3 linked regions of the Mus musculus genome follow. The protein of the gene in region 1 purifies or fractionates together with the protein of each later gene. This does not show direct contact. Links are inferred from orthologs where the notes say so. Each region holds a gene or a part of one and is shown in the gene's direction. Other genes may lie near its edges. The genes, in order: Ddx21, Dkc1 and Rsl1d1.

Region 1 (9,839 bases):
CAGTTTTGTCACCGAGCTCTGCACAGGCTGCCTAATCTTTGTCATGTCACTCATACGCTTGGTTTCCACAGGATGTGGAGTCTTACATTCATCGTTCGGGGCGGACAGGCAGAGCTGGAAGGACAGGAGTTTGCATCTGCTTTTACCAGAACAAAGAAGAGTACCAGTTAGCACAAGTGGAGCAGAAAGCGGTAAAGTGATTTCCAAACTTATATTCAACACGTGCTAAGCTCTGAAGGCAAAGTCAGTCCTTGGAATCATGGCAGCAAGCTGTGTTTTCTTTGTTGGTCCATGGTAGAAGGCCTGCTCACTAACTTGCACTGAAGAGCTTCCCTTAAAGCTGCTGCACAGAGTAGAGAGGTGGGAGGAGAGGATCAGAGATGGATGCAGAGTCCATCACCCACAGAGAGGGAAAGAGATGGGTGTTCACCCGTAGAATTAGTTCTGTCCCCAATCCCATAGTCTACGGATGAGAAGAGCATCAGACAATCTCCCATTGTGGCTCACCCTCAGCCTAGAACATAACTCCTTAGAGCTATTAATCCGGGAAACAGGGTACAGAGTAAAGAGGTTTATTTGATAGATTTAAGGAAAAAATTACTTAACCTCAGTAGAAACAATAATCTTTGAAAACCATGAAATTGTGTTTTTTTGTAGGGAATTAAATTTAAACGGATAGGTGTTCCTTCTGCAACGGAAATAATAAAAGCCTCCAGCAAAGACGCCATCAGGTACAGTCTCTACCACCACCAAAGTCTGTTTTGATGCTGCTTCTTGGACCTTTAATTTTATTTATTTATTTATTTATTTATTTAGTGGTTTTTCGAGACAGGGTTTCTCCGTGTAGCCCTGGCTGTCCTGGAACTCACTCTGTAGACCAGGCTGGCCTCAAACTCAGAAATCCGCCTGCCTCTGCCTCTCGAGTGCTGGGATTAAAGACGTGTGCTACTACGCCTGGCTATTTTTTATTTTTTAAGTGCATATGAGGAGTAACATGGGACTGGAGAGATGTCTCCATGGTTAAGAGCACTGACTGCTGCTCTTCCAGAGGGTCTTGAGTTCAATTCCCAGCAACCACATGGTGGCTGATAACTATGATCACCCAAGATTTAGTAGGAAGTTCGTTTCTACTAAAGTGTATAGTTTGAATGGGTAGTAAGTAGGCAAGGAAGTCCATAGGCAAAGGAAGTATTAGGAGACCTTGGGAGTCTTCCCCAAGCCGCATTTTTTTAAATTAGGTATTTATTTCATTTACATTTCCAATGCTATCCCAAAAGCCCCCCACATGCTCCCCCACCCCCTCCCACTTCTTGGCCCTGGCGTTCCCCTGTACTGAGGCATATAAAGTTTGCACGACCAATGGGCCTCTCTTTCCACTGACCGATATATGCAGCTAGAGACACGAGCTCCAGGGGGTACTGGTTAGTTCATATTGTTGTTCCACCTATAGGGTTGCACATACCCCCCAGCTCCTTGGGTACTTTCTCTAGCTCCTCCATTGGGGGCCCTGTGATCCATCCAATAGCTGATTGTGAGCATCCACTTCTGTGTTTACTAGGCCCCGGCATAGTCTCACAAGAGACAGCTATATCAGGGTCCTTTGAGCAAAATCTTGCTGGCATATGCAATGGTGTCAGCATTTGGAAGCTAATTATGGGATGGATCCCTGGATATGGCAGTCTTTAGATGGCCCAAGCCACATTTTTAAATTGATTTTATGGTAGCATGTTTTCCTTAAGGACCTGTGGTACCGTGGGATACTGTGGGATACTGACTAGTTAAGGAAATATGGGCTTGGTGACCAGGAAGAAGAGGCAGATTCTAGTAGTGGGTAAGAAATGTTCTTTAGGATATCAGCCCTTTGCCAGTGCAGCTTACCTTACTTAGCATACCGATGTGCTGATTTGTTATGGCCAAGACAAAGCCAGCCTGCACACATACGTGTTCTGTGATCTGCTGTAGAGCACTTGTGAAAAGTGTAGAATGTAACTGGCTATAGTTTTTTTTTACTTTTAAAAGTAGCATCACATACTTGCTTGTGATCGGTGTTTTGATTTGAGTTAAATACTTTATAATCTCTCATTTAAAGGCAGTATGGGGGCTGGGCATGGTGAAGCATGTCTGGAATCCCAGCAGGAACCATGAGTGTCAGGCCAGTCTGCTCTGCACAGCAGGTTTTCAGGAAGATAAAATAAAGTCCTGTCCCAAAGGGTACAATAAATGCAAACAAATGCACTACTGGAGCCCCATTGTGTCTTATAGTGAGGCAGAGTCTTATATCCCAAGAGTGCCTGGAGCTCACTGTAGTAGAAGATGACCTTGAACTTAAGATCCTCCTGCCTCTGCGTTCTCAGTGCTGGGAATGTGGCAGCACCTCCAGTTGATGAAGTGCTAGGGATTGAACCCAGGACTTCTTCATGCCAGCTTAGCCACACCCCCAGCATGCTGAGGCCCATTCTAAAGCTCCTTTACTTTGTTACTGAAGTGTTGTCTTATTCTCTCACACACAGGCTCTTGGATTCTGTGCCTCCCACTGCCATTAGCCATTTCAAGCAGTCAGCTGAGAAGCTGATTGAGGAGAAGGGAGCTGTAGAGGCCTTGGCAGCTGCTCTGGCCCACATCTCAGGAGCCACATCAGTCGATCAGCGCTCCCTGATCAACTCGCAAGCAGTAAGTAAGGTTTTGGTACTTTATAAAAGGACTTAAGCAAAACTAGAAGAGTTCATTTGAACCTCCTCATTGGCTTCCCCCTTCTAGAGGCACGAAGGCACTGGCTGTGTTTTGCCATTTTCCTAGTTAAAGACAGAATCAATAGGGGCAGAAGAGATGGGTGTTTCCCGGGGGTGGGTTGGAAGGAAAAATGACGCTGACTGCTATGGGTAATGGTTTACTTCAGTTTTCTTTTAAATGAAGGGCCAGTGACACTGGGCAGGTAACAGCCTGCCATCAAGCCTTACAACCACCTAAATCCCATCTACGGGATCTTTATAGTGGAGGAAGAACAGATTTCTGACCTGATCCCTGGCTTCTACACGTGAGCTCACAGACAAATGAGAGAGTTAAAATATGCTAAAAAGTGCTAGAACGAAATTAAAATGCACTAACTTGATAGTTACAGTGGTGAATTCCTTTGACACTTTGAAATCTGATGTGTTTATTGATTGTAGCCCCATGTGGCATAAGAAGTTCACTGATGGGTCGATTCCTCATGCTCAACCCCCCCTCCAGTGCAGATCCTTTAGAAAGCTAAGGACTGGGCACTGATACTGGTGCTCCCAACAGTCCTCCTAGGACTGCCCCAGTCCACTGGCATCCATTGGGTGGCTGGGGGCTGCGCTGTCATGGAGAGCTTCTCTAGAAATCCTTCCCTCCCCAGAGCAAGAGCTTTTGCCAATTGGTTTTCAAATTTGTGTGCCTTTCTTCCCCAAGGGCTTTGTGACCATGATCCTGCGGTGCTCCATTGAGATGCCCAACATCAGTTACGCTTGGAAAGAACTTAAGGAGCAGCTGGGCGAGAGCATCGATGCCAAAGTGAAGGGAATGGTCTTCCTCAAAGGAAAACTGGTGAGTGCCAGCCCTCCGGGACCTCAGCACACCTCAGGGTTAGCCTGGGCACCAGGTGTGTCCTCTCCCTGCCTGATGGGGTGCTGATCTCACTCTCCACAGCTGTCCTCAGCACTGTCTTCAGCCTAAGCTGCACACAGTGCCAGGCCCCGTCACCCCACTGCTTCCCTGCCGATGTCACAGAGTAGCTTACTTTGGTATTTTAAGTTCAAGTTTGAAACTTCTAGACTGAGCACCCAAACATTTAAGCTTTTGCTACCTTATGGGAAATGAGAATAAAAAGGGCAGATAAGTATTATTAGAGAAATAGTTTTGACTATGGGATCCCTCTGTAGTCACACAGACACACACGTGTACATATGGAAAACCCAGAGCCCAGTATTAGGTAAAGATGTTTGTGAAGTGGGTGATGCCTGATCAGAGAAGCCATGAGCCATCTTCAGAAGCTGAGGATAAACTTGTCCAGCTCCCCATTGCCACCCCTAGCACCCAGCACTACAGGATACCAGACACACCACCTTATTCCCACTGGGAGCTGACCTTGGTCACTGTCTTGGGTTTCATTGCCCTGCAAGGACACTATGACCAAGGCAATTCTTATATAAAGGTGGGCATTTAATTGGGGCTGGTGTACAGTCTGTTAGCATCATGGTGGGGACAGTGCTGTGTGCGTGCAGGCAGACCTTGTGCTGGAGGAGCAGAGAGGTTGAAATCATGATCCAAATGCAGCCAGGGTGAAGCTAACTTCTGTAGCAGTCAGGAGAGTCTTCTGCACTAGAAGGAGCATGAGCACTAGGAGGCCTCAAAGCCTGCCTACACAGTGACACTTTCTTAATAGTGCCACTTCCCATGGGCCAAACATGTTCAAACCACCACAGTCACTTACAGCGTCTTCCACTCCACGGTGTCCTTCACTGAGCTCAGGCTCAGCGCAACTTCCCAGTCCTTACTTGTATGGTAGAGTTCTTGGGGTATAATATTTTCTCCCACTCTGATTACTTAAAATGGACAGCCTAAGCCTGTGACCTACTCTAGGGCAAAACCTCTCTGGATACCTGAATGCCCAGTGTTCTGGAGAAGCCCACAAATGCCAGAGTCCTTCAGCACCTACAGACACCTGTGCTGTGGCTGGGTAAATTCATGGGTGGAAAAGTATAGCTCAGCTGTGCCATTACAGGAGTCATTTGGTGCTGATGGCACCTTCCCCGACTGATAAGGGAAGTGCTTATCAAAGATCTGACAATGTAGACTAGATAGGTCCCTTTTCTAGTGTTCTCATAGGAAACTGAATTGTGAAAAACTAGAAGACAGTTTAATTTCTGCTTTTCATTGTCATCCTGACTCTGGGTTAGCAGGGTACACTAGCCATGAATAACTGCTTGAGTAGCTGCAGACCCTTCCCCTCCTGCTGCTGTTCTCTGGAGCTCGAGTTAGCCATGCTCTAGGGTCCGTTGCCTCAGGGCCTGCTACTTTCTTTGTATTTTGGTTTATCTGTGTTGGTTGGATTTAACTCTTCCTCCTTTGGTTTTTAGGGGGTTTGTTTTGATGTCCGAACTGAAGCAGTCACAGAAATACAGGTATTTTCTTTTTGATTTTACTGTTTGTAGACCATACAGTATTCATTCTGAAAGCAGAATGACAATGTGGGCTGCAGAGATCTGTCCCCCTGTGCTGTCGTGACCTTGCTGCTCGGCCTGCCTTGCTCCTTCCAGGACCTGGGCCTCAGCCTGCCTTGCTCCTTCCAGGACCTGGGCCCAGCGTCTGCAGCGCTGCTCTCTGCAGAGCGCTCCCCTGCACACTTGCTGCTGCTGTGTTGAGCGTGTACCTCAGACAGATGCAGCAAACCCAAAATGTAGAATGAGGACTGGCCTTCAGAAGGCTTGTCCCCACACTAGCCACATGGCTTTGGTACTAGCAGCTTTTGAAAACACTTAACAGCTTGTTCCTTAGAGACGTGACAATTAGTTTTTCATGTGGCTTTACCAAATTTAATAAAACCATGGAACAAACCTTCTACCCACAGGAGAAGTGGCATGATTCGAGACGCTGGCAGCTCACCGTGGCCACCGAGCAGCCAGAGCTGGAGGGACCTCCAGACGGATATCGAGGCCGCATGGGTCAGCGTGATGGCAGCCGTGGTGCTTTCAGAGGACAGCGGGGTGGAAGCAGGAACTTCCGGGGACAGGGACAGCGAGGAGGAAGTAGAAACTTCCGAGGACAGCGACCAGGAGGTGGCAACAGAGGCCAGAAGCGGAGTTTTAGTAAAGCGTTTGGTCAGTGAGTAGAGGCCAGAAGGGACTGTTCCCACTGTGGACCCCAGGGTCCACCCTGCTGACAAAGCCCGAGTGCTTCCTTCCTTTTTTTACCACTTCTCAGCGCCCCCTTTCTTGCAGAGAGGCTTCTGAACTGTCCACTAACCATCACAAATTCTTCATTTTGAAAAAGGATAAGAATTCATTGCATCGTTTTCCAACATACTTTTAGATTTACAAAGTAAAACCAACCATGGATCTGCCTATCTTGGTGTGTCGATCTTGTAATTTTATCTTTGTGTGTGTGTGTGTGTGTGTGTGTGCACTCACTGGGGCCTAAGCTCAGAACCTCACACAGGCAGAGTATACACACGCCCTGCAACTAAACTGCATCTCTAGTCCCTATACATGTGTCCTACTCATCCTTCAAAGTGAGTCCCTAGGGGATGCCTCAGTCTCTGGAGGATTGCAAGAGCCAGGGCGGAATGTGTTTGTTTGCATTCCTTGGCATCCTGGACTCTTGCAAACAATTGCTGTGTTCATATGTGTCTGCTGAGGTTTGATGCTGAGCAGAGCTTTTCAAGAGCCGCTTCAGACTTAGCTGATTGAATAGTTTGTGCCCGGCTCTGGGTGTTGAGCGTAGAACAGACAGCAGATTCACTCCAGTGTCTTCACACACTCATTAGGTGTTTTCTGTTCCAGTGAAGTCTCCAGACAAGGGTATATAGAAAGACATTTTTATAGGACCCAGTGTAAAGTTCAGGCCCAAATGCCTAACATGTCTAGGTGTTTTTGTCAGTAATGAGACTGGATAAATGGTATGTAAGTGCTTGCACCCCACTTTTGGAAGATTAATTTACCAAGAAGCATGGGGTTCAGTTGGTGTTGCTGACAAATATCTCAAAAAAGCCACAAAGGTGTCTTTGATCGTGACAGGTGAGGAGGTGGAGAAGCGTGCTTTGAGTGGTGAGCAGGTCCTGACTCGTGGCTCCTGGAGGGGCTGTGTCTGCTAGTGTGCAGTCTGGGGCTGTTAAAGGGGCACAGTGGGACAGGCTTGTTTTCAGTGGCTTAGATCTTAAACCACAACGTAAAATCTATTTCTGTTAAGCAGCTTCTCTGAAAAATTATCACAGCTCAGAGAGCCCTTCTATGACAAGCTGTGCCATTTTAAGCTCTTACTTTGAGGGAACTGAAGCATAGCCCCTGCCTACTGCTGGTGTTCTTTATTTGGGAATCATCCCGCCTAGCACAGAAGCTTGAGTGGTGGGGTCCTCTAGCTGTACTAGAGATTCTGCGCAGGGCTCTTAGAACAGGCTTGGGAGGAAAGTCAGAACCACGCACTGTCATTTTGGTTTTTTTTTAATTTTTCTTAATTGTTTGGATCAACTAAGACCTTCATTTTAGTATGGTCCTTACCTCCTAACTGGCCTTTACCTGGCATTAAAGGGCTCTGATAACCAATCAGCTCCCGGTAGCTGAAGCAGTGCCCTTTTTTCTATTTAAATTCAGTTTTCCCCTTGAACTCTGACCAGATGGCTCATCCTCTGTGCTCAGGATTTGTTGGGTTTTGTTTTTCTTGTTTTCTTTGTTGATAACTGTAGCTTGTAAGAAATGTGGGCATGGTTTAATGAAGCATGTCACTGTTGGGATAAAAGAGTTTGCCAGTTCAAGATGATGAAAGGACATACTGGCTCTGCTTGCAGGAGGAAAGGCTAAAAGACATTTTGAATTAATGGGTTACCCTATAGAAAAATGATCTGTCATAAACCAAACAGTGAAGGGGAAGAAGGGAAGAATTCCAATTGACACAATTTAAATGAAACATGACTTTTCAAACAAATGAAGTTTCTTTTGGATTGCAGAAACTAAGCAATATTTATATGTATAATTCAACTATTATTTGGTTTAAATGGGCTTGTTGGGAAATGTTATCATTTTTACTATTTTCTACAGAGAAAATATTTTCCACTTTATCAAATAAATCTGGACTTTGAAATTACAGCCTGTTTTTATGTTCCAGCTGTCTATGTATGTTTTCCTGAAACTGTACATAAAATGTTTTTACATTAAAATGAATTGCTGTATAAAGTACTGCATTATGCCATAATAAAGATACCGATGCTTTATATTTAGTTCTTGGTGGCTTTTATTTTATAGCAGTGACTGCTAGGTCTGTAAATCTAGTAGCTTGGCTTGCCTTTTGTGTATACTGCATTAAAGCAGATCAGGTTATAACGGGGAGTTAGCCTTGGCTAAATTGTCATAAAAATGAACGCAATCCTATGTTAACATACCTTCACTGTCTTCAGACACACCAGAAGAGGGCATCGGATCCCCCATTACAGATGGTTGTGAGCCACCGTGTGGTTGCTGGGGTTTGAACTCAGGACCTCTTGGAAGAGCAGTCACTGCCATCCCCCCAGCCCTTCAGTGGGCCATTTTCTACAGGTTCATTTCTTGAATCATCCATTCAAGTTTTGTGAATTGCTCTCTTCCCCTAACATCCTATGTTTACCTTTCAATATGTATGTACATACATTTTAAGACTTAAAATAATTTTACATTTAATAAATGTTTTCAAGACAGATCTCACTGTGTATCTCTGGCTGTCTTGGAACTATGTAGACTTGTAGCACAACCAATTCTGAGCTTATCCCTGACCAGCTTACAAATAAGTGAGACTCACACTATGGTTATTTTATTTGGCTTTGACAATTACTGGGGGATAATCTCTAATCTATTTTTCCAACTGCTGACCTGGCTTCTTTCCCAGCAGTGTTCCCCCAAGTAATTGCTGTTTCTCCTGCCGTGTGCTCATGGTCCATCTCTCCTGGCTCTTGTTCTACTCTCTCCAATGCTCAACAAGGAAACCCACCTACCTCTGATCCCTGCAGTTATTAGCTGTAGCCTTTGTTGTTTGTTTTTGTTATTTCGAGACAGGATTTCTGTGTAGCCCTGGCTGTCCTGAACTTTGTAGACCAGGCTAGCCTTGTACTCAGAAATCCGCCTGCTTCTGCCTCCCCAGTGCTGGGATTAAAAGCGTGTGCCACCACGCCCGGCAGCTGTAGCCATTTTTTTTTTTTTTTTTTTTTTTTGGTTTTTCGAGACAGGGTTTCTCTGTATAGCCCTGGCTGTCCTGGAGCTCACTTTGTAGACCAGGCTGGCCTCGAACTCAGAAATCCGCCTGCCTCTGCCTCCCGAGTGCTGGGATTAAAGGCGTGCGCCACCACGCCCGGCTAGCTGTAGCCATTTTTATTTAACCAAATTAAGTTTTAAATTAAGGAATAAAGTTTGTACAACAAAAGCTGGTAAGCATGAGAATTTAATCATAGGCTACAGAATTTAGCATTACAATACATATCAACACTGGCCCCTGTGTCAGCCTGCAGATAATTGGCACCATGCCTAGCTCAGAGCCTTTATAGAATTTTCAGGGACTGGGCGGTGGTGGTGTGAGGTGGCTCTAGTAAGTAAAGGCTGCGGAGGCTGAGCCTGAGGATCTGAATTTGATCCCTGAGACCTGGGTACCTGGGTTGTAGTTTCCTACAACTATAATTTTTAACTGTGATAGCGTAATACATTAGTGGTGAAAGATTCTTGCCTATGAACTTGAGCAGTTATCGAAAGATGTTAGTGTTAAATTTCATTTAAGCTAGGGATTGACTTTACGATAGGCTAGTACCTTACCCCTAAGAATCATTCTGATTCTGAACATTTTTGTATAAACTACATTTTGGGATGAAGCAGGAGAAGCCATACTGCTCAAGGGTAGCAGCGGAAGGCTCTGTATTCCCTGACAGCTTCGTTTCCTTGACGACGGCTGTTGTGGCGACCAGAACATCCTCCCATTGGCTGCTGCCGAGCGTCTAGCGCTCCCCTCTACCGACTTCATTGGTCGGCGCTCCACAGTCACGACACGTCGTAAATGAAGTGTCGCAACGCGGAGGCCTCCAGTGGCTGCTGGTCCACGGACGGGGAGGCGGCCGTCAGCTCAGGCCGCGATGGCGAACGCTCCGGGGCCAG
Region 2 (11,045 bases), on another chromosome or scaffold:
AGGCATGACGCACCATTGCCTGGCTCCCTTCACAGTCTTTTGTCAGAGTACATAATTTGAAAATATTTCTCCCAGTCTGTAGCATATTTTATTGTACTCTTAACAATGTGTTTTGTAGAGCAAAAGGCTTAAATTTTAATCAAGTCCAGTTTATTATTAGTCTATTTGTTTGTTTTTGGGGATTTTGTTTGTTTTGTTTTGTTTTGTGATTTTTTTTTTTTGAGAGAAGCTTTCTCTATGTAGCCCCTGGTTGTCCTGGAACTCTCATTGTAGACCATGTTGGATTTGAACACATAGAGATCCATCTGTCTCTGCCTACCAAGTGTTGGGATTAAAGGGTTGTGCTGCCACACCTGACCATAGCTTTACATTTTACTTGTTTTTTATAATTTTTATAAATTTTAAAGATTCATTTATTTTATAAATATAAGTATAGTGTCCCTGTCTTTAGACACACCGGAATTGAGTCCCACTACAGATGGTTGTGAGCCATCATGTGGTTGCTGGGAATTGAAATAAGGTCCTCTGGAAGAGCAATCAATGTTCTTAACTGCTGAGCCACCTCTCCAGCCCCCGTTTGTTTGTTTGTTTGTTTGTTTTGTTTCTTTTTGTTGTTGTTTTTGTTTGGGTGTTTTGTTTTGTTTTGTTGAGATGGTTTTTCTGTCTGTCCCTGGCTGTCTTGGAACTCACTCTGTAGACCAGGCTAGCCTCAAACTCAGAAATCCACCTGCCTCTGCCTCCCAAGTGCTGGGATTAAAGGTGTGCACCACCACTGCCCAGCTTGCTGGTTTGTTTGTTTGGTATTTTGTTGTTGTTTGTTTGCTTGTTTGTTTTGGGGTTTTTTTGGATCATGTTTTTATTGTACTACACTTTTTCTTTTCTTTTCTTTTTCTTTCTTTCTTTTTTTTTTTCTGGAGACAGGGTTTCTCTGTGTAGCCCTGGCTGTCCTGGAACTCATTCTGTAGACCAGGCTGGCCTCGAACTCATAAATCCACCTGCCTCTGCCTCCCAAGTGTACTACACTTTTAACATTATTAAAAGCTTACTATAAACTTTATTCATATTATGATTGTATCAGGAGACCACACAGTAACTAACCTATACTTCCTAGGTGTAGACTTGTGTAAATGCATTCTGCGAAGTTTGTCTAACAGCAAAAAGAAATTGCCGCATCAGTAAGTGATGATACATGATAACATCTCTAGCTAGTAAATGATTTAGTACCAGAAGGAGTCATCCAAGTTCAGTGATGATTTCTCAAATAACTGTGGGAATATTGTTTTGGAAACTGGCCAGATTGTGGTGAAAATAGTGTATAGAAATATAGTCTGGAATCAAAATCTAAAAGTATATATGTCTTAGTCAGAGTTTCTATTCCTGCACAGACATCATGACCAAAAAGCAAGTTGGGGAGGAAAGGGTTTATTCAGCTTACACTTCCATGTTGCTGTTCATCACCAAAGGAAGTCAGGACTGGAACTCAAGCAGGGCAGGAAGCAGGAGCTGATGCAGAAACCATGGAGGGATGTTACTGGCCTGCTCAGCTTGCTTTCTTATAGAACCAAAGACTACTAACCCAGGGATGGCACCACCCACAATTGGTCCTCCCACCCTTGATCACTAATTGAGAAAATGCCTTACAGCAGGATCTCATGGAGGCATTTCCTCAAGGGAGGCTCCTTTCTCTGTGATAATTCCAGCTTGTGTCAAGTTGACACATAAAACAATGTACTAGCCAGTACAATATACTAACAAAACACATACTTTTTGTTTTAGTTTGTTTTGTTTTCTTTTTTTGTTTGTTTTTTGTTGTTGTTGTTTTTGGTTTTGGGTTTTTTTGTTTGTTTGGTTTTTGTTTTTTTTCGAGAAAGGGTTTCTCTGTATAGCCCTGGCTGTCCTGGAACTCACTTTGTAGACCAGGCTGGCCTTGAACTCAGAAATCCGCCTGCCTCTGCCTCCCGAGTGCTGGGATTAAAGGGGTGTGCCACCACGCCCCGCTCAAATCAGGATTTTTGTATGTAGTCCTGGCTGTCCTGGAACTAGCTCTATAGACCAGTCTGGCCTTGAACTCAAGCTCTGCCTGCCTTTTGGATTAAAGGCATTCATCACTAAACTAGGCTAAAACACTTTCTTAAATCAATGCTTATTGCTGGGCAGTGGTGACACATGCCTTTAATCCCATATATATGGGATTATATATATATATGTATATATATATATATATATATATATAGTAGAATTTTATTCAGCCTTAAGGAAGGATGAAATGGAATTGAGCCATTAGCAGGAAAATTGATGAAACTAGAGAGCATCAGGTGTTAAGATACTTTTCTTGGCACACAGATAGGATGAGGGTCCATGACTAGCAACAAAAGTGTTAAATTTCCAAGATGGCTTGTTTTCTTCCTCACACTCCTGATTTGAGACAAAGGCCTAGCAGTATAAAACAAAAGCCCTGTAAGCCTTTGTCTTCCACCTGTGAGACCCTGCTGGTGAACTAGCTCAACAAATTCAAGGCTGGTTCAGGGCTTGCTACAAAACAGTAGGCTAATCAACCACTCTATCTTTCTTCAAACTGACCAACCCTAAATTAGGAGAGGGAAACTTCAGAGACTTAAATCCCTAATCTTTGAGAAGAGACTGGATTTTTTGTTTTCCTGTGCAGAGACACACATTTACAAACTCTTAAGATTGTTTTCAAACACATTTTTTTTTCTCCTGCAGCTTCTAGGTTTTTAAATTGTGTCCTGGGGCAAAGCAGAGGTTAACTCTTGGCTTAAGAAAATCTGTCTGAGGGGAATGAACTTTTCTTTCTTTGCTCTCATCCATCACTCACTCACTCACTCACTCACTCACTCACTCACACTTCACTGTTGAACCTTATCATCAACCCTTAAAAAGTATTTTAAGCATAAACAGGACCTAAGTTTAATGATACTTTCAGGCTGCTTATTAAGACAATCTAGGGAAAGTAGAAAAAGTTGGGACTTCAGGAAGCTACTGGAGAAATAGAGACATTATAATGATGGTTAGAGAAGTAAGAGTGAAGAAAAATCCACGGGTTCTGGAACTCTCCGAAAGCAAAATCTCTCCAAAAAGATTTGAGCATAGAGATACAGGACAAAGATGAAGGCACTGGACAAATGGCAAATGAGTACTTCAGATTTACTCACCCTATTAATTATCACTGGAGCATTATAAAATAACATTTAATTCTAAGGGTCTTATCTGTTAATAGTCAATTCTGATCATTACCACTATTAGCAAAATGAATTCCATAAAGACATAAAAACCCATTGTAAGTCATAGTAAAAAAGAAAAAAAAAACAGAAAAAAAAACTGAAAAAATCTGATTTTAGCATTGTAGATCAGAAGAAAAAGAATACTATTTTTTTTTTTTTTGTCAGCAACAACTAACTGGAAAACTATTGGCAAATGATTCCATCTACAATGAAGATAACTAATGATCTATCAAATTCACTAGATATGGGTTATGAATCCAGAAAGCCAAAAGAATCTACAGAGGTAGAATAGGAAACAGGGTGAAGGAGGATATTCCAGAGATCTTATCTCAAAGGCAGTAGCTCGGATTAACAGCCAGAAGACTCTACCCGACAAAAGTCAGGGCTCAATCCTAGAGCTGTTACTTTCTGGCTGTTACATTATCTCAGCCACTAGAGCTCTGCACTTGATGTCCAGGCTGTGGAATTCGAACTTAAGTGTACAGGTTAAGTGTGAAACACACTGGAAAAAAACTTCATACAGAAAAAAGCAAAACATTACACACTGCTGCATATTGCTTCCGTATTAAAATAACATGCCAGATCCGCAGGGTTATGTAAAATTAACTACCAGAATCACTTTCAACCTTTTTAGTTTGATGTAGCTGCTAGAAAATTTAAAAGTTTACACGAGGCTTGCACTCAATTCCTATTGGCCAATACAGCCATAACTTAATAGGAATTTCAAGGAGTAAACAGCTTTCACTTTGACACTGTGTACCTCAATGTCTTTTTCAATTGAAACTGACATGATAGCAAGCAAAAAAATGTCTGTTTGAGTTAAAACCAGCTATTTATAGCGCGCTAAGAAGGATGTCCAAGTGCTGAAGCTGAAGCTAGACTGGAGGAGGGTACAGTACAGCCCACCCGCTGTAGTCTGTTACTGCAGAAGCCTGGCCAAGGTTCCAAGGCGCTCTGCCAAGGGTTGGCAGTGTGGGGTTGGGGTGGGGAGGAGTGAGGGGGAGCTTCCAGGCGCATGTGCGGTCACACCTCCGTGGCCGAATCAGCCAATGGGATTGAGTAGACAGTCCGCGGGTTCGTAGAGATTCCTGCCCCCGTACCCCGTCCTGTCCTCCTCCTCCTCCTCCTCTTCTCTACGTCCCTTTTTTATATCAGCAAGCTAGGGGCGGTGCAACGGTGGGCGGGTCCTAATGACGTGCCCGGACGGGTCTCACACCATAGGAGTCTACAGTTCTTAGTTTGTGGCGGCTTGGGCGGGACGCACGCGGTGCAGTTCAAGATGGCGGATGCAGAAGGTAAGAGGTTCTGGTGGCAGTGCCATGAGACCTGTGGGGCCTCCTACACGACCCGGAGCTAGTTATAGTGAGATTGCATCGTGACCCGCGGTTCCCCGTGTTCCCGCTCGCAGTTTGGCTGTCTCACCACTCGGCTCTGGCTCTACCTGTGAATGCACGCATTCGTGACCAGTGACTAGGCTTCATTAGATCCTGGCTTCGTGCAAAAGATTCTACCAGGGTCCCCTCCCAAAGGCATCAGCCGTGGAGGCGACTGTGTCGTGATAAGGAGACGCGGTAGCATTTCTGCTGGCACTAGGCAGGACATTATGGAAATGAGGGTAGCAAAGGTGCAGAGCAAGGGTTAGGAAGGAAAGGAACAGAGGAGTTGGAAGCAAGTGTAACTCAGACCTACAAGAAAAACTTTAAGAGATCACAAGCCCCTATGGACAGTGCAGTGTTCGTTTGTGAAACTTTCCAGCCTGTGGACAAGTGCTTCCCTAAGTAATATTTGGCCTTGCCACAGCCACGTGGAGAACCCGAAGGGAAGCCAACACGTGCTAGAGTCATTTACCAGCCAAGCCATCCTAGTGTTTGGCCTCACAAACGTAAGTTCTCTCCAGTAATGTCAGACTTTAAAATGTTTTCTTTGTCCCGATTTTAGAGTTAATTTTAAACTTTGGTTTTAGTTTTCAAAATCTTCAAATATTGAGTTTGTTTCTTGTAGTAATTACATTCCCAAAGAAGCATAAGAAGAAAAAAGACCGGAAGCCATTACAAGAAGATGATGTTGCCGTGAGTAGAAATTTACTTTGCTTCGACTGATTGAGATAATTTAGTAAACAGCACATTAAAGGGGGAAAGTGCTTTTAAATATTCTCAATCAATATGCTAGTACTTAGTGGTCATTATGTAGAACGGGCAAAAACCTGAAATCATACAACTCCCAGAGAAATTTTCTAACATGCATGGCATGCTAAATGGTGAGCTATTGACCCTGAATTTCTCTGCCTTACTCCATCAGCAGACCCATGGTTTTGTTAAAATATTTGGATTCAACTTGATCTTCCTAAAGTTGAGTGACCTGGGTTTCAGAAATCACACCCCTCCTTTCCTCTTGTTTAAAAGGCATGCACTTCCAAAATTAAGCTGAGAAATGTTTCTGCTCTATTGAAGGAAATACAACATGCTGAAGAATTTCTTATCAAACCAGAATCTAAAGTGGCTCAATTAGACACTTCTCAGTGGCCCTTGTTACTAAAGGTATGTTTTCTGTGTATCAGATGGATGCTTGAATTCCATATTATTTCTAGTTAATGCTTACTGCTGGGGTGTTGTGTTGCATGCTCTTTATTCCAGTGGGCCAGGCAAGCCTAGTTTACATAAAGAGACCCTGTCTCAAAAAAGGAATGCTCACTGCCAGCATAGTTTACATTTAGAAAACTTTAAATGATGTAGCATGGAATATAGTATGTCACCAAAATGTCAATTGCTGTTAGGTTTTAGACAATTGCACTTTTGAAATCAACTCCTGTAGACTGTTTCAGTGCCTAAGAACATGGGGTTTTGAAGCCAGACGCCTTTGAAATAAGAGTATATGTGATCCTAGGCCACTTTTTTTTTTAACAATTATTTCTTTTATGTGAGTATATTGTAACTGTCTTCAGACACACCAGAAGAGGAGGGCATTGGATCCCATTACAGATGGTTGTGAGCCACCATGTGGTTGCTGGGAATTGAACTCGGGACCTCTGGAAGAACAGTCAGTACTCTTAACTGTTGAGCCATCTCCCCAGCCATGGGCCAGTCTTTTAACCTCACTGAATCTATTAATTGCTCATGATTATTTTCTCTTAGGATGATGTGCAGGGAGTTATAGGAGGTATTCTATGAAGCATGCTTAGTTTACGGTTGCATGTCATAGAAATTATAGGTTATTATTTAGGGATTTAATTAGTGATATTGAGTAACCCATTGAACTAAAATTTATAATTTTCACAAAGTGGATACCAGCTATAAAGTTAAGACATCTAGCAAAGAAGATTTTAAAATATAAATTTAATATAAATTTTTATTTCATCGATTACAGTGTGTGGGTGGGATGTTGGGGGTGCATGCTCCACATGGCATACGTGTAGAAGTCAAAAGATAACTTGCAAAGTTTGTTCTCAAGTGTCGTGAGTTACTAGTATTGCAGTTTTCCCTAGTATGTAGGAAGGCTTAGTAGTGTGTCATTAATAATGGGAACAACATACATTTATGGGCTTGAAGGGCTACAGTGGTTGGTGGTGTTATTTACTGACTCTTGTTTTACTTCTATTGATATGTTATTAAACTTATGTTATTGCTTTCTAGAATTTTGATAAGCTAAATGTAAGGACAGCACACTATACACCTCTTCCTTGTGGTTCAAATCCTCTGAAGAGGGAGATTGGGGACTATATCAGGTAGGCATGCTCTGTCCAAACTTAAAGTCTTTTGAAACTGATGCTCTCACTGAATTTATTTGTTATTCAAGGGAGTAGTAGTGGCAGCTTAGAACAGCTTTGTCCTGAATATATAACCTAAATATGTGATTTGCTTTTCTTTTTATGTCTTCATGCTATTTTTTTTAGACAAGAACAGGAGGTGATTACCTTTTTTTCTTCTATTTTAGGACCGGTTTCATTAATCTTGACAAGCCCTCTAACCCCTCTTCCCATGAGGTGGTAGCCTGGATCCGACGAATACTTCGGGTAGAGAAGACTGGCCACAGTGGCACACTAGATCCCAAAGTGACTGGTTGTTTAATTGTGTGCATTGAACGAGCCACTCGTTTGGTGAAATCACAACAGAGTGCAGGTTTGTAAAAGAGAGAGTAGGGGGCTATACTTGTTTCTGTTCTTGTTTCACTTCTACATTTTGGCTCTTAGAAACTATTTCTTTAGAAAAAATCTTAAAGCACGAGTGTGAATTGGTTTCTGTTGTTCTCTGCCAAAATCTGGTGGTTCTTTAAGAGTTTGAGACACTAAGCATGTGGATATTGAATCAACTGTCCTGTTCCTAGCGCTGCGGCAGGTCACTTGTATGCTTGCTGGTTCTGCTCTTTATTGTGTTCTTGGTTTTGCAGACAGGGTTTCTCTGTGTAGCCCTGGCTGTCTTGGAACTCACTCTGTAGACCAGGTTAGCCTCGAGGATTCACCTGCCTCTGCTTCCCAAGCGCTGGGATTAAAGGCGTGCGCTACCACCACCTGCCATGTTTACTGCTTCTTAACTCAGGTCATGTTTCTAATGTTTCTATCTCAAGTCTCCTTTCCCCATTTTCACCCAAGAAAATTCTGCTTAAAGTACAAGGTATTTTCCTGTTAGACTCTACAGTAGGTATTCCCTCTGTGTCTGCCATCACATTGAGCATTAAAATGTGTGTGTGAACGTGAGCGAGCTTTTTCCATCCTTTCCTTCCTTCCTTTCTTTTATTTTTTTTCCTTGGGCGGGGGGGTTTGAGACAGGGTTTCTCTGTGTAGCCCTGACTGTCCTGGAACTCACTCTGTAGACCAGGCTGGCCTCGAACTCAGAAATCCACCTGCCTCTACCTCCCAAGTGCTGGGATTAAAGGCGTGCGCCACCACTGTCTGACCATTCTTTCATTTTTGAGACAAGGCTTTTCTGTGTAGCTCATGTTGCTGTGGAAATCTCAATTATCCCATCTCAGCCTCTAAACTTCTGGGTTTAGGTTATAGCCATGGCGTGGGCTATTCCTGACCCAAGAAAATTTGTCTTTATTTCTTTTCTCTATCTACAACATTAAGTCTGTCAGTACAGATTTTACTGAAACAGACGTTGGATTCCCTACTGCTTCTGCCACTTCACGTGGCAGTGATAGAACATTTGTAAAACAGAAAACTCAGTGGCCACACCTGACTACTCTTTTGTCATTTTTTCAGGCAAAGAGTATGTTGGAATTGTCCGGCTGCACAATGCTATTGAAGGGGGTACTCAGCTTTCTAGGGTAAGTCTATAACTTGTAGGGAGCATACCTTTGATTTGGGTCTCTGAACTCCAGGAAAGTTCTCCTGGCTAGTGTCTCTTGTGCTCTTTGAATGGGCTGTCCTAGATTCCTGGGTGATGAATGACTGGTGCTAGGGATGCCTTCTAGCCATGCTTTTTCTGTGAAGGACATTCTGATTAGTGCTGAGCTATCCCTTCGTAGTTGAAAAAGAAGAAACTGAACTAATTTTATGAAAGAAAACTTTGTATTTGAATTATGTTCTTAAACTCCCTAAATATGCCCCTTTGTCTTATTTTAAAATGAGCCCACATAATTTTTTGTTTGTGCTTTGTTCTTAGGCCCTAGAAACTCTGACAGGTGCCCTGTTTCAGCGACCCCCACTTATTGCTGCAGTAAAGAGGCAGCTTCGAGTGAGGACTATCTACGAGAGCAAAATGATAGAATATGATCCTGAGAGAAGATTAGGTGAGTTGTTAGATATATATCAAGCTGAATTGCTTTAGATCCACAAGCAGGTGGGGGGGGGATAATATATTATCAGGGATTCTCTTGTTAGTAGTAGAAACTTTTGAGTACATTGTGTAGTCATACTCTATTCCCTATGTCTGTTCCCTATGTCTTTCTGTTAGTTTGTTTTAGATTAGGTCTCTCCATTAAGTAGCTCTGGTTGTTATGGAAATTGCTGTTTGCAATTCAAGCTGTCCTTGAACTCAATAGAGATCCACCTGTCTCCGCCTCTTGAGATTAAAATCAGCCTCCATCACGCCCAAGGTTTGAAAAGAAAATCATGTGTTTACTTCTCTCTCTCTCTCTCTCTCTCTCTCTCTCTCTCTCTCTCTCTCTCTCTCTCTGTCTCTGTCTCTGTCTCTCTCTGTGTGTGTGGTGTTTGTCTTAGGAATCTTTTGGGTAAGCTGTGAAGCTGGCACCTACATTCGGACACTATGCGTACACCTTGGCTTGTTACTGGGAGTTGGTGGTCAGATGCAGGAACTTCGGAGGGTGCGTTCTGGAGTCATGAGTGAAAAGGTATGCAGTTGTGGGACTAGAAGTTTGGGATTTGGGTTTTGTGGGGATTTTTGATGTTTTTTCTTGTGTTGTTTGTTTGTTTTATTGTTTGAGACAGAGTTTCTATGTGTAGCCCTCTCTGTCCTGGAACTCCCTCTATAAACCAGACTGGCCTCCAACTCATAGATTTACTTGCTTCTATCTCCCTGGTACTAGCATTAAAGGTGTGCGCCACTACCGCTGGACTTGGGGCTAGAGGGCTTTAGAAATCATACATAGAACTCTGTCTGCTTTCCATCTTAGGAAAGATTTCATATTGTTTAGTTCAGTTCAGGGCAGCTTTCATGTTCTGTGAATTAAACTTCGGGACATTGAAATTGGCAAAGAGGGCGCTGGGGAGATGGCTCAGCAGTTAAGAGCACCAAACTGCTCTTCTAGAGGTTCTGAGTTCAAATTCCAGCAACCACATGGTGGCTTACAACCATCTGTAATGGGATCAGATGCCCTCTTCTGGTTTGTCTGAAGACAGCTGCAGTGTATTCATATACATAAAATAGATAAAGTCTTTAAAAAAAATAAATAAGAAATTGGCAAAGAAATGATTGGGTAGCCGGGCAGTGGTGGCACACGCCTTTAATCCCAGCACTTGGGAGGCAGAGGCAGGTGGAGGCCACCTGGTCTACAGAGTAAGTTCCTTGATAGCCAGGGCTACACAGAGAAACCCTGTCTCAGGAAAAAAATAAGGAAGAGAAAGGGAGGGAGGGAGGGAGGGAAAGGAAGGAAGGAAGGAAGGAAGGAAGGAAGGAAGGATGGATGGATGGATGGATTGGGTAGAGAGTATTATTCATACATTTCTTTCCTATTCTACCTATGCCAGTCTTGCTTAGATCTTGAGAGTGTTAATGCAGCTTTAGAGCATTTGGCAACCATTTGTAAACACCTGGGTTCCATCCCAAGCAGTACAAAAAAAAAAAAAAAGGATTGACTGCTTAGATCTAATTTGTCAACATGTACAGATATTTTATGGAGATTCTAAAGACTTATGATGAGCCTGGACTAAAAGACAATTTATAGTTATATTCAGTTGTAAAAAGTTTAGGAGTCAGCAAGGCGTGGTGGCCTTTAGTCCCAGCACTGGGAGGCAGAGGCAGGCAGATTTCTGAGTTCGAGGCCAGCCTGGTCTAGAGAGTGAGTTTCAGGACAGCCAGGGCTATACAGAGAAACCCTGTCTGGGGGGGAAAAAAAAGCTTAGGAGGAGTCTGATGGACAGAAGAAGATATACAGTATGAAGTCTCAGAGTTTAATATCTTACTGCCTTTCAGGACCACATGGTGACAATGCATGATGTACTCGATGCTCAGTGGCTGTATGATAACCATAAGGATGAGAGTTACTTGCGGCGTGTTGTTTACCCTTTGGAAAAGCTGTTGACATCTCATAAACGTCTGGTTATGAAAGATAGTGCAGTAAGTTATGGGGTAAAAGTCAATGTTTTCAGAGCACGTGTCTCCAAAGATGAGATGCTAGCATTGTAAA
Region 3 (10,563 bases), on another chromosome or scaffold:
GATGCAGGTGTCTTCCATGGCCAGAAAAGGGTTTGAAGTCTCCTGGAGTTAGGGTTTCAGGTGGTTGTAAGCTGCCTGATTGGTGTGGGAAATAAAACGCAGGTCCTTCAAAAGAGCGTCAAGTTCTCTTAACTACCAAGCCATCTCTCCAGCCCGTTTTTCTCTTTTTAATGTAATTGCCACTGTAATGTCATTGTTGGCTGTATTTGCTTTTGCTAAAGGTGGTATTCTGATTGGTGTCTGAAAAGCTAAATGCATGTCAGATTTCATATCTTATTTTTAGTTGTCTTGAGCAGAGTGCCTAAGGGAGAATGGGGTTCCCCGCAACTGGAGTTGTAGAAGGTTGTTTTCATGTGTTCTAAGAGCAGTCGGCTCCAAAGCACTGAGCCATCTATACTCCCGTTGCAGATTGCTTAAAAACCTAATTTTTTGTGTACTTGTAGAGCATCACATGTCTGGCTCTGGCTTGTGATTATTTGTTTATATTTGTAGTCTGTTTCTTTATATTTCTCCTGGTAGTAGGAATTGAATCCAAAACTTTACACATGTTAGATCAAACTTACACATGCTAGACTCTACCCCAAACTTGAAATGTAGACCAGGCTAGCCTCTAACTCAGAATAGATTTAACTTTTACACCTCTATATCAAGTGCTGCTACCTCCCCACCCACAATACCCTTGCTTTTTTAAAAGTGGGTGGTTTTTGGTTTTTTTGGTTGGTTGGTTGGTTTTTTTTTTTTTTTTTTTTTTTCTTCGAGACTGGTATTTTTTTCTGTTTAGCCCTGGCTGTCCTGGAACTCACTTTGTAGACCAGGCTGTCTTAGAACTCAGAAATCCACTTGCCTCTACCTCCCAAGTGCTTGGATTAAAGGCATGCGCCACCACCGCTCAGCCTGGGTGTTTTGTCTACATGTGTCTATGCACCTTATATAAGTACCCATGTAGATCAGAAGAGAGTCTTGAATTCCCTGGACCTGGAGAGAGATACACATGGCCACGAGCTACTATGTGGGTGGTGGAATCAAACCCAGGTCCTCTGTAAGAGAAACTAATGCTTTTAACCACTAAGCTGTCTGTCTCTGCAGCTCGTTTTATTTTGTTTGAGATAGCATCTTGCTCAATTGCTGGGCTACCCTCAAAGTTAGTATTCTCCAACCTGAAATTCCCAAGAACAAGTTATGTCATATACTTCAGTGCCTGGCTGACATGCTGGGATTTTATCCAGGCTCCTTGATCGTTCCTCTCAGGGTCTCCCACCATCTGGCTAGGCCTCTAGCATATTTTAGCTGCTTAGGAATTTATTAATCCGAGAGGGGCATGGCTCTAGGACCAGTCTGAATCGGAAGTGTTAAATATTTCTCCTTCTGTTTTAGATGCTTAACATTTTATGGTTTTGGTCTTGTTTCTGTATTCTAGATTATCCCTTTTAAAACTTTAAAAACAGAATATAAAGCCTATGAAGCCAAGCTCCGCCTCCTGGGTAGCTTTGAAGTCTTTATTACTGATGCGAGAATTCGACGGCATTTGCCCTCACACATAGGGAGGCATTTTTATCAGAGAAAGAAGTGAGTTTATTTGCAGTGACTGGACTTGACTGGTATGGGGTTTCTGTGTGTCTCCAATGTTCTGATGCCTGTGTGCTTTTATAGAGTTCCAGTGTCTGTGAACCTTCTGGCAAAGAATCTGTCCAAAGAGATTAACCGATGTATCACAGGGACCGTCTTAAACATCTCTAAGCGTGGTTCTTGCAGGTAACAAGGAACATTTATATGAGATTTCTTTAAACTTTACATGTCAGGGTTTTGTAATCCTCTCCTCTCCCCCCTATCCCCTACCTCATTTAAGGATCTTGTTAATAAAACTAGGACCTTCTAGCCAGGTGTGGTGGTGCATGCCTTTAATCCCAGTGCTCCGGAGGCAGAGGCGTGTGGATTTCTGAGTTCCAGGACAGCCAGGGTTATACAGAGAAACCCTGTCTCCCTGCCCCCCCCCCCCCAAAAAAAAAGAAACTAGGACCTTCTATTAAAACCTAAATGTTTTGTTTTTAATAAGTCTTCTGGGGGGAAAAAGCTTTAGAAGTAATTTTAATCCCCCATTAATGAGTTTGTTGTCTTTTTTTTTTTTTTTTTTTTTTTGGTTTTTTGAGACAGGGTTTCTCTGTGTAGCTCTGGCTGTCCTGGGACTCACTCTATAGACCAGGCTGGCCTCAAACTCAGAAATTGCCTGCCTCTGCCTCCCAGGTGCTGGGATTAAAGGCGTGCACCACCGCAGCCCGACTGAGTTCATTGTCTTTGTTGTCTGATTTTCCTGGAGAGAGGTGAAGATATGTGTTCACCCTGTGTAGGGCAGAAGGAAGTGATTGTACAGGTCTGTCTTGATGAACAGTGAGTTTGTTGTGCTGACCTAGAGTGGCACATATGGTGTTACTTACAGCCCCGGCCCCACCCACACATGGGGTTGTCATGGAAACTGTACCACTGGAGTTCTGTGCAGCTGCTGGTAACTCCCTAGAAGGTGCCTGGAGCTCAGATAGCCTTGGGGTGGAGCCTGTTTGGTTTTGTGTCTGTGGAGGAATGTTTCAACTGAGAGGAAGTAGCTACACATTGATTCCTTCAGTTCATCCTCACCCAGGATCCTGAGCTAGGTAGAGCCTTACACCTAAGCTAAGGAAAAAACCTTTGGAGTCAACCAGGTGGTTCAAGTTTAAGACACCTATCCACCAAGCATGACAACTTGTGTTTGGTTCCCAGGACCAACACTAGTATAAGGAGAGAACCAATACTTGCAAATTGTCCTGTGACATACAGAACACACACTAGAGAAATAAAAGAACTGGAGAAATGGCTCATATATTCTTCAGAGAACCCAAGTATGATTTCCAACACTTGTAGTACCTGTGGCTCACAACAACCTGTAATTCTTCCTCTAGGGATTGAATGTCTCTGGCCCTAAAGAACACCTACAGGATTTGGGATTTAGCTCAGTGGTAGAGTGCTTAAGGCCTGGGTTCAGTCCTCATCTCTGAAGGGAAACAATAAAAGGGCAGGCACATGTTCACATGCACAGACACACATACATGTAAACCAGGCATGGCAGCACATCCCTCTAATCCTAGCACTGAGAAGGCAGAGACTGATATATCTAAGTCTGAAGCAAACTTTTAGTCTACATAAAGAGTTCCAGCCCAGCTAAGACTATATTGAGACCCTGTCTCAAAATAAATTATTAAAATAACAGTTCTTGGGGGTTTTGTTTGTTTGTTTGTTTAAGATTTATTTTATTTATATGAGTACACTGTAACTGTCTTTAGATGAACCAGAAGTGGGCATTGGATCCCATTACAGATGGTTGTGAGCTACCATGTGGTTACTGGGAATTGAACTCAGGACCTTTGGAAGAACAGTCAGTGCTCTTAACCACTGAGCCATCTCTCCAGCGCAGTTCTTGTTTTGACATAGGGTCTCACTGTAATTCTGGATGGCCTGGAACTCAGAGATCCTCTGACTTCTACCCTGAATGTTGGTGTTGAAGGCTTGTCTGCCACCACACCCAGCTTTAAAAACAGGATAATAATTGCTTTCCAACCTTAAGTGGTCAAAGATAGGGTCAGTGTGTGGGTCCAGGCTTAGCATATCAAGCAATAGAGATAGATTCCCATTGCATGCTGTCTGCAAGATGGAAGTCCCTTGATTGCTTCAGTTAAATAACTAAGGAGTTGTCATTGGGCCTGTCATTGCCTCCTACCCTTGAGTTATAGGCTGGTGTCAGAGAAGGTTAGAGATACCAAATATAATGGCTCACATTATCCGACCACAGGGGAGCCTGGGCTAAGAGGTCCTCTGGTTTGAGGGTAGCCTGTACTGCATGGTGAGTTATTGTTTCCGTTTGCTTTGCCGAGCACAATGGCTTCCTGTCTTGTCTCTTCCTCTTCTTTTCTTCACCTGGGCAAACAGCTTTACACACCTGCACATACAGAGTAGCCAGCCAGCCAATGTCTGACTAAAGAAAAAAAAACTGGGAATTGCTATTCCCTAAGATGCCTCCGCAGTGAGCCTCTGGTGAGGGAGTAGCTCCAGTGCTATAGGAGCCCTACTGGGCTTCCCATTCATTTCCTGGGCCCTGTCCGTAACTGCAGAGATGCTTTGGTCTCTGCTAAAAATAAGTTATCCATGAGAGACGAGAACTTCTTACTTCAGAAGGACTCAGCTGGATAGGACATGCAAACTAGGAGGTGTCGATGGCTTTTGGGAGTGATTTCTTCCCAGAACAGTTTTGGGGTCAATGTGGGTTTTCCTGTTTTGTCTTATTACTATTGTGTATTTGAGTGTAGGTGTCAGAAGGCATTTTCCAGGGTCAGTTCTTTTACACTCAAGTCACTGGGATTGAACTTGATGGCTTTAGCTCAGGCTGTCAGGCTTGTGTGGGAAGTGCCTTTACCCACAGAGCCATCTTGTGGTCCAACCTGTGGGTGGGTGTTTCTTTCAGCATGGTGGTGTTTTACCTCAGGGAGTGGAGTTTTAAAATAAAAAAGTTAAAGATTAAAAACTATATTGCTTTATTAAATTCTAGTACGATCCGTATTGGTCACACTGGAATGGAGACTGAGCACATCGTTGACAACATCCTAGCTGTCTCAGAAATGCTTTCAGAAAAATTGCCAGAGGTACAGTATGGCAAGTGCATGTTTTCCATTTTAAAAAAGCAGAGTGTGTATAAATGACATTCTTTCTTTGTTTCAGAAATGGCAGAGTGTGAAACTGTTGTTCCTGAAAACTGAGAAGTCGGTTTCCCTGCCCATCTTTTCTTCATTTGTCACATCTCAGGATGAAAACGCTGTTTCCCTCCGTAGTTTGAGGAAGCAAGTTAGTATAAAAGTTATAATATTGGGTGGGGCTTAATAATGTGTAGCCAAGAGAGATCACAGCAAGTTCAGAACTAACTTAAGCTATAAGACCCTGTTTCAAATAAATTAATAAATTAAGGTATAGATTCAATCTTAAGCGGGGTGTTCAGGCTTATTTTATGTGCCTTGGTGTTTTGACTGCATATGTGTTTGTGAGTGTCAGATCTTCTGGAGTTGGAGTTGTGAGCTGCTGTCTTGGTACTGGGAATTGAACCTGGGTTCTCTGAAAAAACAGATGGCTTAACCACTGAGCTTTCTCTCCAGCCCTAACAAGACTCATCTTCATTTTGTGTGCTAGACAACATTGAATGTCTTCCGCTGTTGCTATCCATTGTCGTTTTTGAAACAAGATCTTTCAATGGATGCCACTGATTGGCTGGACCAGCTGGCCAAGAGCTCCCAAGATTCTGGCCTGTAATTAAGATTCAGATGCCAAACATTGTGTCTTTCTATGTGTCTGACATGTTTGCATACTTGGCCTACTGAGTCCTCTCCCCAACCCCCAACTTTTGATACACACACACACTTACAGGCTTAATACTACAGGTGATATTTCCAAAACAGAATGAAGGGTGATGAAGAGGAGACATATAACTGATTAGAGTGGGGTTGTTTTGAATTCTCTTTGGCCATGCTAATTGTCTCTACTGAATTTTTCATCTCTGTGTTTTGTTTCATGTCTTTTTTTCTTTATTTCTAGGAGTTGCATATTGTCTTAGTATTCTACTGCTGGGAAGAGAGTGAAAGGCATTCTGCTAAGTAATGATTGAAACCAAAATTGAGCTTAGTGGCCATGGGCTCTGCTTCCTGCTTATATTTATTCTGGAGTGTAGCTCCTAATAGGAAAGGATTCCGTAGACTTTTTTTTTTTTTTTTTTTTTAAAGACAGGGTTTTTCTGTGTAGCCCTGGCTGTCCTGGAACTCACTCTGTAGACCAGGCTGGCCTGCTCTCTGCCTTACCTTCCACCTCTCTTGGTTGCATGCATACATTCATTTTCATGGTAGGTATTGAGTATGGGACCTTGGACACAGCAGATGTGGTATAACACGTCTCTCTTTTAGTTTGAAACAGAGTCTAAGTTTTAAACTTCAATAACTATAGCTCAAACTGGCCTTTGAGGTTGTCATCCTCCTGCCTCAGCCTCCCAGGTAGTTAACATGCTGACGGGTACTGTTTTCAGCTTTCAGCTACACTGTGTGTGTGTGTGTGTGTGTGTGTGTGTGTCTGTCTGTGTGTGTGTCTCCGTCCGTCCGTCCCTGTCCAAGTCAAAATAGAAAGCTACGTGTTGAGCATGTAATTGTAGCGCATGACAGGCAGGTGGAGAGGGTTATCTTCAAGGCAAGCCTTTCTGAGCTACAGATTGAAACACCTCTGACCCTCCAAACAGACTGAGGTATAACTGTTTGCGTGGGTCAAAGATGTTTCAGGGAACTTGTGAATCCTCGGCTTCAGCTTCTAAACCTGTGCCATCTGTTTTCTGTGAATGATTCCTACTAAAATTTTATCTTGTGTTCTGGTAGGAACTAAAGAAAAGAAAGCGTGAAAATGCAAAGTTGAAGAAGGAAAGCAAAATGTTAAGGAAGAAGTCCAAGAAGGCTACATCTCTTTTAACTCAGAGTGGGTTAGCTAGCAGTGCTCCAGCGAAGAGCCCAGGAGCCCAGAAGAAAAAGACCAACAAGGCGCACAAAAAGCAGAAAGTTACAGAGGAATGTGAAGAAGCAATTCCACAACTGGTACCAATAGGAGAGACTCCAGATAAAGAAAATGTAAAGGTATTAATAGTGGTTATATTTATAGCAGCTGCTGGGTTTCAGGCAAAAACTGCTAGGTGATGCGGGTGGGGTCCAGCACTTGTGGTCCAGAGGTGGGAGGATCTCTGCATTTGAGCCTGGCCTACAGAGTGACTTCCAGGACAGCCAGGGCTACACAGAGAGAAACACTGTCTCGGAGGGGGAAAAGTAAAGTAAAAAGTGCTAAGTAATGAAGTTGAGAGTTAATTCTAGGAACCAGAAAGGCAGTTACTGGTTTACTTACTTGAGCATCTTGAGTAATCTGAAAGCCTGCGCTACTTGACAATGGGGCATCTTCTCCAAGTGTATCTCATGTAGATGTCATTAACAGGACATACAAAGTATCTATCAGTCCATGTGACTTCTCACAGAGTGTGGCTGCTGCTAGCACAATACAACCTACTGGTATAATGTTTCTAATATTGAAGTAGGAGTATACTCTAAAGGCTACACATGTGCCTGGAACCTCAGGCTGAGGCACGAGCATTATCACTTTGAACCCAACCTGGAATACATGATGAGTTCCAACCAGGTAAGACCCTGTCTCAAAAAGAAAGAAAATATGTCTGGTGCTGGAAAGAGCCCCTCATTCTACCACACTGAATACACGCAGGGTTGCAAGCACAGTAGTGGCTCCTTAGGTTTGATTGTTAGATATTGTTCTTTATTGTTCTAGACTTAATTTCCTCTCTTTCTTTTTTAAGATGCAAGAAAATATCACAGGGAAAACTCCAAAATCGAAATCTGATCCAAGTACACCTAAGGGTAAGAAAAGGAAGGCCTTGCTGGCTACAGAGACTCCAGAAGCCTCCGCCCCTGGGACCTCAGGGAAGAAGCAAAAAAAGGATGTTCAGGAATTCAGAAAGCCAGAGGCCAGTTCCTTCTCTACTCCCAGGAAATCTGGAAAGAAGGCTTCCAACACACCCAGAGACAAAAAAACCAAGGCGGCCCACTCAAACTAGAATTAGTGCATTGGCATGAAGGACATCAGAGTTAACCTAGAGCTTTTCAGAATAGTTAGACAGGGTGTGGTGGCACACTCACACACTGTGGAATGCAGAGATAGGCAGATGTATGTGAGTTTGAGGCCAGCCTATTTTCTACAAAAGCATTTGGTCACCTGGGATAAAGCAGGATTCAGTATTTAAAGGCCAGATTTAAGTCCTGGGCTGATGGTATAACACTTTGCCAGCATATGCAATATCCTGGCTTCAGTACCCAGGACTGTCAAACAAAGCCCACCCAACAAAAGGTACTCTGCTGCTGGTTCCATCACTGCCTTTTTAACAAGGAGTCTGGGACTTAAATGGTTTTTGAGAAGTTTCTGTGGGTGCCTCTGAATTTAATATTTCTATTGTACAAACTAGGGGTTTGAGACAATAAAATATTTTTAAATTGTTCAGTGTATTTGCTGATGGTTCTGTATGTTTGCTTTTTTAAAAATTAAACTATTACATCCCCTTCTGTGTAAAGTCGCTGTACTGTTGGTATTTCACATCTCACCTGACTACTTTTGTTTTTGTTTTTTGGGGTTTTTTTGTTTTGTTTTGTTTTGTTTTTTTGAGACAGGGTTTCTCTGTATAGCTCTGGCTGTCCTGGAACTCACTTTGTAGACCAGGCTGGCCTTGAACTCAGAAATCTGACTGCCTCCCGAGCGCTGGGATTAAAGGCGTGCACCACCACGCCCAGCACCTGACTAGTTTTGAAGACATGTTGGAGCAGCTTTCCAGTTGGGCAGGTCAGCTAATTTCTGCAAACATTCCCTGAGTGGTTGGTGAGGGATTGAAACATAAAAATCAACTCCAGGGGGACTGGAGAAATGGCTCAGTGGTTAAGAGCACTGGCTGCTCTTCCAAGGGTCCTGAGTTCAATTCCCAGCAACCACATAGACAACCATCTGTAATTGGGTCTGATGCCCATTTCTGGTATGCAGGTGTACGTGAAGATAGCGTACTCATATACATGAGGTTTTTTTTTTTTTTTTTCCAACTCCGGGACAGGAGACACAGTTCAAGTGGCCCTGCTATACAGAAGACTCAGGTTCAATTCCCAGGACCATCATTTTGGCTCTCTGCCACAAACCACCCCAGTCAGGTATGGGGGTCCTAGAAGGTGGGTAAGGATTTGGTGTTGACAGACAAACACAGAGGCAATTTGAATCCGACTGTATTTTGGAGCTCTCAAGCAGGGGATTTTATACATTAAAATCCAAACATTGCATCTCTTAGAAACTGTATCCAGTGAATCAATCACAAATACCAACAAAAATCATCCAAGCATTACAACTCTGAAACTATGTATTCAGTGAATCACATACAGAACAGGTAACATCATTATTAATATAAATCATCAAAATATAACAATTCTAAAAGGATGTATTCAGTGAGGCAGTCATTCAAGGCTACTGGCATATTTGCAAGAGCAGGTTAATCTTTATGATAGTGCTCTTAATCACTGAGCTAGCTCTCCAGCCCCATATGGTCAATTATTCAACATCTAGTGCCTGATTTTTTATAAATCTTCAATGCATAAATTTAAACTAATTCTTTCTAATTAAGACTTTCTTTACCATATACCAAAACCCACCTCTGATAACACAGGTGTAGCCATATGAAATTTTATTGTTGGGAAAGTTTTTAATCTATCATAACTGTTTTATTGTTGTGTCCGGCCAGCAGACCACAACCTGGGTTCTAGCCTGGAAAGGCATTTTGGAAACCTGGAAGAGAAGAGGGGCTAGGTGGCGAGAGAAAAGAATGTAGCCAAGACAGTTACTCTGATCAAGGCTCAAATTTTATTGTTGCGACACTAGTTATGAAGGAAAGGGGAGGGGACCCGATTCCCGCCGAATAATCTCTGGTCCAGTAGAAAGGTGCACGTGTGTGGCTCCGCAGGTTCCAGCAGTGGGCGTGGCAGAACGAATGAGCAGGAAGCTCCACCCTGAGCAAGCAGGTTTCAGGCTAGGGGAGGGGAGACTACATTTTATAAATGATATAAAAAGTCAAGAATTGATTTCCCTGGGGAATAAGGTCATACTAGTGACCCAATCTCAAGGGATGGTTTTTTTACCATTCTCGCTTAAGATCTTGGCCTAGGCTATCAGGAACATGTAAATAAAAGAAATAAGACCCTGGCTTCCGACCGCGGTGGCCCTAGCACCGCTCGACCTGGTTTCACAGACCCTCCTATCATGTAACCCCCATGGCAATGGGCTGCTGTACGCCGGCTTCAACCAGGATCACGGGTGTTTTGCATGTGGAATGGAAAATAGATTCCGAGTCTATAATACTGATCCACTCAAAAAGAGAAACAAGAATTTTTAGGAGGAGGAGTTGGCCATGTGGAAATGTTATTTTGCTGTAACTATTTAGCTTTAGTTGGTGGTGGAAAAAAAACTGAAATACCCTCCCAACAAGGTGATGATCTGAGGAAGAAGACAGTCATTGAGAGAATTCTCCACAGAGGTCAAGGCTGTCAAGTTGCAGAGATAGAATTGTGGTGGTTCTGGACTCCATGATTAAGGTGTTCACACTCACACACAATCCCTACCAGTTGCACGTCTTTGAAACCTGCTATAATCCTAAAGGCCTCTGTGTCCTGTGTCCCAACAGTAACAACTCCCTTCTTGCCTTCCCTGACACTCACACTGGCCATGTACAGTTTGTGGACCTGCCAACACTGAAAAGCCACCAGAGGACATTCCCGCACATGAGGGTGTCCTGAGCTGTATTGCTCTCAACTTACAGGGAACAAGAATTGCAACTGCATCTGAAAAAGGGACCCTTATAAGAATATTTGATACTTCATTGGGGCATTTAATCCAGGAGCTACGAAGAGGATCTCAAGCAGCCAATATCTATTGCATCAA

The links.
Region 2: the proteins of Ddx21 (region 1) and Dkc1 purify together in Homo sapiens (co-immunoprecipitation; 3 studies listed by BioGRID and IntAct, with this or other methods). This does not show direct contact. The link is inferred for Mus musculus from reciprocal best matches to the Homo sapiens genes DDX21 and DKC1.
Region 3: the proteins of Ddx21 (region 1) and Rsl1d1 purify together in Homo sapiens (affinity purification with mass spectrometry; 3 studies listed by BioGRID and IntAct, with this or other methods). This does not show direct contact. The link is inferred for Mus musculus from reciprocal best matches to the Homo sapiens genes DDX21 and RSL1D1.

What each region holds. Positions count from the first base shown.
Region 1 is NC_000076.6:62,578,356-62,588,194, reverse strand, and holds the end of Ddx21 (nucleolar RNA helicase 2), read left to right. Parts: intron 1-71; coding exon 72-191; intron 192-657; coding exon 658-731; intron 732-2,510; coding exon 2,511-2,670; intron 2,671-3,429; coding exon 3,430-3,564; intron 3,565-5,096; coding exon 5,097-5,141; intron 5,142-5,587; coding exon 5,588-5,845; 3' UTR 5,846-7,948; downstream 7,949-9,839. Other genes in the region: Kifbp (KIF-binding protein), read left to right, coding at 9,818-9,839.
Region 2 is NC_000086.7:75,091,591-75,102,635, forward strand, and holds the start of Dkc1 (H/ACA ribonucleoprotein complex subunit DKC1), read left to right. Parts: upstream 1-4,263; 5' UTR 4,264-4,521; coding exon 4,522-4,537; intron 4,538-4,997; exon of another isoform or gene 4,998-5,042; coding exon of another isoform or gene 5,043-5,124; intron 5,125-5,243; coding exon 5,244-5,311; intron 5,312-5,644; coding exon of another isoform or gene 5,645-5,692; coding exon 5,693-5,779; intron 5,780-6,871; coding exon 6,872-6,963; intron 6,964-7,172; coding exon 7,173-7,357; intron 7,358-8,439; coding exon 8,440-8,504; intron 8,505-8,842; coding exon 8,843-8,969; intron 8,970-9,399; coding exon 9,400-9,530; intron 9,531-9,818; exon of another isoform or gene 9,819-9,936; intron 9,937-10,831; coding exon 10,832-10,975; intron 10,976-11,045.
Region 3 is NC_000082.6:11,190,574-11,201,136, reverse strand, and holds the end of Rsl1d1 (ribosomal L1 domain-containing protein 1), read left to right. Parts: intron 1-1,417; coding exon 1,418-1,566; intron 1,567-1,650; coding exon 1,651-1,752; intron 1,753-4,570; coding exon 4,571-4,664; intron 4,665-4,740; coding exon 4,741-4,863; intron 4,864-6,425; coding exon 6,426-6,677; intron 6,678-7,399; coding exon 7,400-7,657; 3' UTR 7,658-8,100; downstream 8,101-10,563. UniProt on the Homo sapiens protein: Regulates cellular senescence through inhibition of PTEN translation. Acts as a pro-apoptotic regulator in response to DNA damage.